Drosophila melanogaster: one gene and its partner. The protein of the gene in region 1 purifies or fractionates together with the protein of each later gene. This does not show direct contact. Each region holds a gene or a part of one and is shown on either strand. Other genes may lie near its edges.

Region 1 (5,521 bases):
CCCTTGGATTTTGCCACCAACTTTGAGGCTCTTCTGTTTGTCCCGGCATTTTTGGGGTGTGCAAATTCACGCTTTCAAGGCTGTTTTTCCATCAGTTTCCGAGCGGCGACAAGTTCCTGCTCTTGTCCTGACCCATCCCGCTTTTGTTCGCCAGAGTGCAACTGCTGCGATGGGGACGAGATCCTCGCACTTAATTGCTAGCCTTTTTGGCATCCTACGTGCTCGAGAATGTGAATTTTAAAGGGGAGACTTAAATCAATGGCTTTGCAACAGCGATATTCTCTTATTTATTTTTCTTTGGCTCGATTTTCCAGCAATATAAATTTGTCTCTGTTCTTTTTGGAAAGCTCTTATTAAATTTGAATCGAAATTCAGAAAGCCCTGGTGGATTTTATGTCCATTGAAACTCAATTAATTTGTACAGTTTCGATTTTTTTGTAGCTTGACTATAGCTTTTATCAAGGCTGCACCTTTTAATGGACATGTTAATTAAATGGTCTCGCTTTAATTAATAATTTTATTGTGCTTAAAACAGAGCTCTCTGTTATTGGTACATATTTACCAATGCCTTTCAGCCTGTTTCTGCCCCATTTCGGGCTGTTTATTCTGCGCACTTATGCCACGTTTGCAATGTGAAGCTAATTTGCATATGCTCAGACATCTGTAATATAATAACATATGTACATACATATGCGGGATTCATTTTGTGGGTAAGCAAGGGAAGTTTTGATTAAAATTGGCCCAAGGCCTGCATATCGCCCACTTTACGAGTATTCGTGGCTTGCACTTCAACTAGACTATGCGCACTTCAGCTTGATTGTTATGGTACTATCTCTAAGATAAAAGGTGGTATACACAAAACTTTATTGCCATCCCAATTATACACTTTAATTCTAGAATTTATAATTTATTCATAAATTCCATACTTTTTAAATTCAAAAGTTCTAAAGCATTGCAAATTAAGTGGGAGATTTTGGGATACAATAACTAAGCAATACAGGGAACTACAAAGGAATCGCAGACACAATAAAAGCTAAACCAATTCATTTGTCTCACGCACACCATCGCAGCGTCTTCACTCATACATAAGCCAAAGAGCCAACTCCCAAATATTAATGCCAAGACAAAAAGGAAGCCAGATGACAGCTGAGCTGTACGAGATGCAAAAGCTAGTTGCTTTTATGAATTGCTATATATACTCAAGGGAGCGGCCGGTGCTCATTGATATTTTTATGGGCCAGGTTTTCTGCTTGAATATATATTCTTTTTATTTGCATTCATTTTGGCTGGGCTTTCTTCATTCAGCTGTTTGTGCCTGGTTACACGCAATGTGTATGTATGTGTGTGTGTGTGTGAGAGAGTCCTTTGGCCTGCGCTGGTGTGAGTGTGGCCATTCCTTTCTCGATGATGATGCCATTGCCTTGGCTGCCTTTGCCGCTCTTTGGATTCTGGTTGTGTTGCCACCACAACGGTTTCTGCGGCGCCTCTAAGCCACATTCCTAGCATGGCTGTGTGCGTGCGTATCTGTGAGTCGGATTCGGCAGTCGGTTTGTTTATTTGCGAAAAAGTTTGCAGCCAGCGCTGGCTAACAACAACAGAGGCAGCTGCTGCCGTTGCCGCCTGGATAGAGCCACTCTCTTCTCGGGTCTCTTTTTTAGTCCCTTGCTAAACAGTAGTATACATGAAGGAAAAATTATTTAGAATAAATATTTAGACAAAAAAGTCATTTATTTGCCACTTAATACATCGTTGTAATATTGTTCATTTATAAGAAGCTTATTGAAATTGAATTAATTCATTGATTTGTAGATCCCAACATAAACTTAAATATCATATCCTGATTTTGTGATTATTGCCAAAAAAAATCAGAGGAAAAGTGGCTTTTGTTTAACCATTTATTTTTATTTTATTTAATTTCTTTGAAATTTTGAGACAATTAAGTTCTACACATACATGTATAAACCATATATTTTTGCCCACTGTGAGTCCTGCGAGAGAGCGGGAGAGAGAATTCTCTCGCTTCCTATTCCTATCTCTCCTCGAGGTCCTGGCTCTCTGTTTCCCTGGGCTTTGTGTGTCGTTGCCTGCCGGCTGGCGCGTCGCTGCTTGTTGAGCTCGAAACTCCAGCTCCTGCAGGATGTGGGGATATCGGGCATTCGGGGTCCGTGGCATCCGCAGTGAGGACGCGTCGCCGGCGCCGTTCAGTGTCAAAGTCAGTTGTGCCTGAGCTTGTGCCAGAGACAGTCAGTTTCGCTGCGAGTCTGCCATCCAGCTGGTTTCCGCTTCCGGTTCCGTGCGAGTTCTTTGGCTAGTAAATTGTGGTTGTGCACCTTTTTCTAATGACTTTTGTAAACACCAAAGTTTTTTGAACAAAAAAAATTACCGAGGCACAACGTATTTTTGTAAACATTTAATGCGAAAAAGGTTTCAGCTCGCGAAAGTCAAAGTGCAAATTGGCCCAGAAACAACAAGTATCGTTTATAAACTAGTTTCCAGTTCGGATGTGTGTGTGTGTACTATAGTGTGTGTGTGTGCAATTGATTAAACAACACAAGGGTAACCTAGGCCAACTGGAAGCGTAGAGACTCCATCAAAAGCCGCGGACTAAATTGCCAAATCCTCGATCCAATAAGATGGGCTGCAACACCAGCCAGGAGCTAAAGACGAAGGATGGCGCAGCCATGGATGCGGTCAGCAACGGCGAACCGGAGCCCAGTGCTCCTCCCTTGGAGGGCGAGTCATCCAAGTCATCCGCTAGCAATCATACGAATCACGCCAAATCCAGTTCAATTATCTCCAACGGCGAGGCGAAGGCGGCCAACGGGGGCGGCGCAGTTGGCGGGGGGAGTGGCAAGTCGGAAGCAACAAATGGCATTGATCGTCCCTGCGACAAGGCGGCAATCACGGAGTTCAATGACGACGAGGACGAAGGTAAGGCCCGTTCAATCTCCGATATCCAATACATTCATATTAACGACTGTTCAACATTCGGTGTGCGTGCGTGTGTGTGGGTGCACTTGGAGAAAATGTTCATCACATCAAAGTGTGGTGATTTTCCTTACTTTCTGAATTAAGAAAAATCTTTACAGCTATAGTAAAAAACCGAAATTGTACAAATATTTAAAGAAGCGAAGAATAGACACTAAATTTTTTTTAGTTTATAGGACTTTTTTTCGGTGTCCTGTGTGTGTGCGGATGAATGAAAATCCTGTGTCCAGGGGTTCGAGTATTATTTACTGTATCAACACGCTGGGAGCACGGCGTTATCGCATTTGCCTTTTTTCTTTGCCACTTTTCCATTTTCCCCCAGTTTTCCGGGCTCCCCGCGGCCCGCTGCTTAATGGTGTCGCAAATATGAATTGTTTAAGTGTATACACATATATGTATATATAAATTTATATATAAAGGGATGTTTGCATTTGGATGTATACACTGCACTCCATTACACGCCACTACATCCGCAAGCGCTTTTATGCGCCCGATGGCAAATTTGTGTTAGGTCCTTAACTTTGTTAAGTAGCCGCCTCGTTGTCCCACAGTCGCCTTGGGCATTTTTTTTCCCCAATGCGCATTAACGTAGGTTATGCTCCTGTTTATGGTATCTAATAAGCGTAGTCAGAAGTCACTTTTATGGCCAGCGATATGGGCCGCAGGATAACACAAATTCCATAGCTTGCTTTTGGGGGCACAATTTAGTTTACGACATATGATTCGCAGTAAAGTGATAATAACGTTTACTTTGCTTGAAAGCAAAAAACCTTTAACGACATATCAAAAATTGTCTACTTTTCTATAATATTTGCTTACAATACAAAAATGTATAATTAATTCTATTTATAAATGTACACGTAAAGTTATGGCCTCATTTGTTATTCTTCTATTGTACGAAATTAAATTTTAGTTGGAAAAATAACTCGAATTATTTAAAACTTCTGCCATAATTCACTGGAAATTTTATATACTTGCCTCCTGAAAATACATACATATCCAATTATTTTCAATTTACTTAGTTATTCATTTAAATTTTCACCACAATAACTTTTTACTCAGCCCAAATTTGGATGCAAAGTTCGGGGCTAATACCATTTGCAAACCCCAAAAAAAGGAGGAACTTTGTGCGGTTTATTTGCTCCTTTTTGATATAATGAAAATATGAAAAACCATCGAGGTGCACAGCGTTTCCAGAGACTGACTCATAAATTACCACAGCCAGCTTTCCCTTGTGGCAGGTGCAGCAGTAGTAGTGGCAGAAACTGTTTGTTTTGCCGCCGTTTTCCGCACGTTTTCCCGCTCCCCTCCCAATTTTCATTTCCCAGTTTCCCAAAGGGAGTGCTGATAAATTGTATAGCGACACTTTATCAATGGCTGACTGCACGGGAAAAGTTAGCCAGAAAATTTCGCTCCCTGTTAATGCCACAAATTATTATTATTGCTTAGCAATTTTCCCGCTGCCAACAGCTTTTAATTTGCTGGTTTATGTGTGCTGCTCACTTGGTTTTCCTCGTAACATTTGCCTTGAAATTAACTCAGCTAATTGGGGCTTCTTGGAATCGCTGAAATATTCTGGATAATCCTTGAAAGTTTGTGCGTAGCAAGAAAATTAAATCAGTTCTTATATTCACGGTAAGGCTATTCAATATTCAATTTCATTTGGGCTGTAGTGGTTCATAAATATTCGCCAGCTGCCTTTTCTTTTTTACTTGCCATAAAGTTCCTTACTATAAAGTTTAGGCCGCTCCTCGAACTTTTTTGATTTTCCTCTGCAGCAGCGTAAAAGAAAAGCGTAATAAAACATACAAATAAACTAACGAAAAGAAGTGAAAACCCAAATCAACCATAAAACTGCCGCTCGGTTACGCCATTTATGCCGCCACCCAAAATATTTTGTTAAACAAACACGTAGGCTGTATTTCAAATTGATTCCGCTTGCGAGTGAAACGAAATTAAAAACGTAAATCCGTAAATGCTTAAGTAGAAACTGGGTAAATTTTCTGCGGTCTGTCAAATAATTAAGATATGGCGATGACGAGGTCAATTTCGTTTTATATTTCACTTCCCTTTTCCCCGTTTGGACACGCCCAAAGCGAAATTACCTGCGAATTGCGAATGGGCCAGGAAGGACATAAATTGGCAATAAAGATGTCAACTCATGCAAAGTATAAGCCCAAACAAACAGACACGAGAGGAAAGGCGACGGCACATGCTAAGTCCTTGCTAAGCTCCTTTTTAGTTGCCTTCGCTTAATGTGAAACGCAAATAAGCGCCCTCCAGTGTTGGTTGATCCTGCTCAAGACAAGCAATTAAACTCGACACACACACACACTAACTGGTTATAAGGAATTATCCCTACTACAAGATGCTCTATAGGGGATATTTCGGGTTTTAGTTCTAAAGTTGTTAAATGGCTATTTAGCTAAATGATCATGATTCATATCACTATTTGGTTTAGTTAAGACACTTAGTAAGATGTTTGTTGTGATTACTGAATTTCCTTGTGCAATATATTTCACATTTAATTTTG
Region 2 (4,868 bases), on another chromosome or scaffold:
AATAACCTACAACTTCACCATTCCCAAAAACACAATTTCTTTTTCCTTAAACATTCCAGTTTTAAACACCTTTTTTACAGTTTTTTCGTTGTAAGTTGGCCAAAATATGTCACAAGGCTGAAAAACGCACTTTTTTAGTCAGCTGGGGTCCTCAGCTAAAGACCCATATCAATATTTGCTTTAATTTGGAAAAATAATTTTTCGGCCAAATTTCGCATTTTTTGTAAGGGGTAACATCATAAAAAATCGAAAAAATTTTCAAACCAAAAATTTCTCTAAATGAGTTACCCGTCGTTTAGGAATATTTTTACAAGTTCAACGAGGTATTCCACTCCACAATTGGACGTGTCTTTCCCAAGATATAGCACTTTTTCTGTGAAATCCCCATCGAAAATTATCAACAAGAATAAAATCACCCTCGTTTTCCATCTGAAAAAACTCCCTCAAAAACAAACGCATATACAGTTTATTTCGTTACATATATATTGTTATTTATTTAAGAACTTGCTCGTCTAATTGACAGAAAAATATAAAGATATAGGATGTATTGAATGGGTTGTGCTGAGTGTCTTACTATGCGAATGAGCGATTCCACTTAAGCCTAGGCGAAATCTCGGCGATTGCATAATGTGGAGCCCCCTCCCGAGGTGTACGGAAATCACAAGTGGTTGATAAGAAAGAACAGACGTGGAATTTTGCTGTGCTGGTTTGAGGATCGCAGTCGAACGGATAATTTATTGGCCAGTCGCCGACTTGGCTGGTGATGATTTAATAGCGGACCCTCGGGAAGGCTCTCTGGGCTGACAGATAACAGATAACTCGACTGGCTGATAATTTTGATGCGTGACTGGGCGCTGCGCCTTCTCTATCTCCACCTCCTTACAGGGTCTTGTCGAACAGGAACTCGCCCAGTTCGCCGTTGGTGTCCATCATCTTCTTGAGAGTGGTCAGCTTGCCGGCGAGCTCGCGCTGTCCGTGGAGCTGCTCCTCCAGATAGACACCGGTCAGGTAGTCCACCAGGTGGTAGTGGTTGTAGGGCTTGTTCTCGCAGGTCTGGATCAGCTTGCGGATGGACTTGGTCACCTTGATCTCCAGGTCGAGGGCGTCGGACAGGGCGGCGGCACCATCGGTCCACTCCTGCTTGGCCACAGTCTGTGGGGGATTCGCCAGGATTAGCTGGGCTTTTGGGTTTTCTAGGCGAGTCGTCGACTTACCGGCACATTGATCAGATCGCTGACTCCCTCGGTCAGTTGACCGCGCATGGACAGGTACTCCACCAGCTTGGATCCGTGCTCACGTTCCTCCTTGGCGGCCTTGAAGAAGTGCTCGGCGAATCCAGGGCGGTTGACGGTGTCGCGGGAGAAGTAGGCGCCCATGGCCAAGTACTGGTAGGAGGCGTTGATCTCCTCCTGGATCTGATTGCGCATGCCCTTTATGCAGGCATCCTTCATGTCCACCCAGTCCTTGGTAATCTCAGGAACAGCCAGGGAGCCTGCAATGGGATAAGGTTGGGTTAAGTCGGGGGACCACGATAACAATATATGGCTAGTATTCAGCTTTAAAAAATTTATTTTTGTAATCAGAACTTAGGTAAATTTTAATATTTTAAAAACCTTTGCACTCTTGGTCTTGACCTTCATGGCTTAGGTTTTGTTTTTCTTTTAGTTGATGCTCTTCTCGCTCCCTTTGAAGCTCTCTCACGAAACTCTTGCTTTCTTGCTTGGCTGAGGGGTAGGGCGTTGTTGGTTATTGCATTTAAGAGGGCGTAATTGCATAAACCTTTGAAATTGCGCTTGAAATGCCGCTATTCTAGGGCACAAAAACCGTGTGCAAAACTGTAATGGCCTACTCTCCCACTCTCTCTCTCTGTTTTTGTAACTGCATTGGTAACGTGCGCAGCTCTCGCCGCCATAGTAACGGCATTTGTTTTCGTGTAGTGCCGTGTGCAAAAAGCATGGTTCACCATGCTAGCTCACTCGGCCCGTAAAAGCCGTGTGCAAAGAGCGCCTTGAAATGTAACAACAAAAAGTCAAGCTTATTTATACCGCAATATTCATGGAAATGAAAGCGAAATTCGCATTATTTAATTATGAAAATTTATGTATAAAAACTGGTTATCATTTCCCCAAAGCGCAACGGAAGTATCAATAACTTTTAAATCAACTGGTTTGGTAACTTCACTTCATTGACGAAAGAGAGTGAAAGAGCGTCAAAGAGAAACGGCGCATGCTCTTTTCAACGCATTACAAATGTTTTGCTTCTCTTTGCGTATTGCGTCGAAATTTATTGTTTTTTTTCCGATGACCTGCCTTTGTTTTGTTTGAAATTCTGATGAATAAAACGTAACATTAGTACTTACACTTGAAATCTCCATAGGCCTGGGCCACCACGGCCAACAGGAGCAGGCTAGCAATTAGTTTCACCATCTTTGATCGTCGAACGTAGTCTTTACACAAAATCACAGAACAAAAATTTGTTTTTCACTTTAGTTTGATTTGCTTGAAATGCACAAATGAGAATGAGGCGACTCGAGTTGAGCTACAATGTTAAATAGGCGTTGAAATTGAAAATCTAGCTGCCTTTACACACACTGGCGCAGAAGGCGTCGCCTGCTTCAATTTGATGGGCTTGATTGGGATTATTTTCGACTTCTCGAATGCTTTCCAGTACCTTCTGCTGACAGCTTTAATCTGATTTTTCAGTGGAGCTAAGGCCTTTCTACGTTGTGTTTTAGCGAACTCGAAAGCGAACTGTCGCTCCGAACGGCGCACAAAACACTTTTAAGCGCGCGCGCTCTCGGTTTTTCTTCGTGTGTGTGTGAGTGATGGGAGAGTGTGCACTGTTATCTTTTCAACATGTCGCCCGTTCTTTGTTAACCGTTTAAATGGCTGATAATTGAATATTCCCGATAATTGCCGCACTCAATGTGATACACACGTCCTCAATATGGGTATACTTTGTATAAAGTCGGGTTTCCTAGTCAGATAATCCCCACTTACTAAGAAGTAAATTTATCAAATGCAATATGGCCGCTCTTTTGAGATGCGCATCAGCTGTTCTTTGTTTTTGTTTTGGCCGTGGGAGAGCACCACGTCATGTGTTGCCAGGCGGTTTAATTATTGCTGACAATTTAATTCACATTTTGTCAAGTTGATTTGCACGTTCGAAGGGGGGATCAGTCACCCACTTTGATAACTGCTAATATGGCGACGGCTCTTTTTTACGTGTCGCTTGCAGAGCTCCAAGAATGACACTTGATAAGAAGGATACATGGTGGGAAAACTTACAAATTACATAATTTGTTTGTTGATTGGGGAAACCCTACATTATCTCCGAACCCAGCAATAATATGTATTGTAAATAGCAACAGTCTCAAGCTCGATGCTGCTGTGAATTACCAATATATCAAAACTTAAAACATTATCTTAGGAGGTAGATGGTTTATCTGCAGTTTATTTTCAATTCTCATCGTTAGCTGATAAAACTCTCAGGAAACCACTTGAAATCCAAAGTGCAGCGTCCATATTTTGCACACGCTGACAACCCTGTCGTGAGTCACCTTCCAGCAGGCGCAGCAACAACAGCACTGGCAGCGGCCATATTTGAATGACACCGAAATCCCGCACTGAGCGCAAAACAACACATGCCCATGCACGCTCTCCAAAACCACACACACACAGCCATATCGATCGCATAGAAAGAGACGTACGCGACGCTATAAACAGCAGTTGATTTTCAGAGTTTCACCAAGAAGCACATAAAGCGATTGAATTATTAATAAAAGCACAGGCACTGGAAGTGAGTTTTAATATTACTAACTAACTACTTTGTGAGTGTTTAGTTACGAAAACTAGAAAATAATATTCTGGAAACTGTGTTTTTAAACCGACCACCATATAAATTTAAAAACCAAAACATTCCATTGGTGGTGGTTTTGTTGTTAAAAAAGAGCACAGAAAATTCAAGAAAACGCTACGACGCAAAACGAAAAAACTCGCCCAAAATGAAAACAAAAGTGTCTGTTTTCCAATTGTCAATTGTTGTGAAACTAATTTCCTTTGTTTTCGCCTCTCGAATTTGATTTTAATTTACAGTAAACCGTCGACATGAAATTTTTCGTTGCACTCGCTCTCTTTGCGTGCCTCGGCTCTCTTGCCTTGGCCAAGGATGATGAATATTGCCAGAACACTGTAATCACCGCATGCTCTACGTCAGCCTTTTCGGGTGAGTAAAGAGAGCGCCTCTAAGAGAGAGTGGCTAATCTGTGTTGTTGCTTTTTGTATCTTTGTAAAACATAATAATAAAAACAAGCGCTCACGGGCTTTTTCACAGGCAAGAGTAAGTGAAATATAGATTGGATGTATTTCTGCACTATCTCAGATTTCGTGAAAATGAACACTTTCCAATTCTTACTGCATTACGGCCCTTACATTATTATTTTAAAGATACAAATACAAATTCAAAATTCTATTGCCTTGTTTAGTATGGCACTACCTAGTTAGGAACCATTAAGACTATGTCATTACTATTGGATGTGCTTCTGCTCTCCTATTCTAAGAGTGTGATCTTTATTATTTGCTTTTTCCCCGTAGCCAACTCCATTTGTAATGCCCGTTTTGCTGGCATTGACCATATTGAGCCCGAGATCCAGTCCTACATCAACGCCAACTTGGCCAAGTCGTACGACTACCTCCTGCTGGCCACCCACTTCAACTCCTACCAGAAGAACCGCCCCGGCTTCCAGAAGCTGTACCAGGGACTCTCGGACCGCTCCTTCGAGGACAGCATTGCCCTGATCAAGCAGGTGACCCGTCGCGGAGGAATCGTTGACTTCAACACCCGCCACGAGTCTTCCGGCTCCGTGAGCA

What was found.
Region 2: the proteins of igl (region 1) and Fer1HCH purify together in Drosophila melanogaster (affinity purification with mass spectrometry, with the first as the bait; one large-scale study listed by BioGRID). This does not show direct contact.

The regions. Positions count from the first base shown.
Region 1 is NT_033778.4:15,153,285-15,158,805, forward strand, and holds the start of igl (igloo), read left to right. Parts: upstream 1-2,152; 5' UTR 2,153-2,633; coding exon 2,634-2,931; intron 2,932-5,521.
Region 2 is NT_033777.3:30,385,105-30,389,972, forward strand, and holds Fer1HCH (ferritin 1 heavy chain homologue), read right to left. Parts: upstream 2,516-4,868; 5' UTR 2,427-2,515; coding exon 2,360-2,426; intron 2,306-2,359; exon of another isoform or gene 2,008-2,305; coding exon 1,999-2,007; exon of another isoform or gene 1,780-1,998; intron 1,725-1,779; coding exon 1,614-1,724; intron 1,493-1,613; coding exon 1,215-1,492; coding exon of another isoform or gene 1,194-1,214; exon of another isoform or gene 1,153-1,193; coding exon 880-1,152; 3' UTR 698-879; downstream 1-697. Other genes in the region: Fer2LCH (ferritin 2 light chain homologue), read left to right, coding at 4,107-4,224, 4,312-4,338, 4,593-4,868. UniProt on the Drosophila melanogaster protein: Stores iron in a soluble, non-toxic, readily available form. Important for iron homeostasis. Iron is taken up in the ferrous form and deposited as ferric hydroxides after oxidation.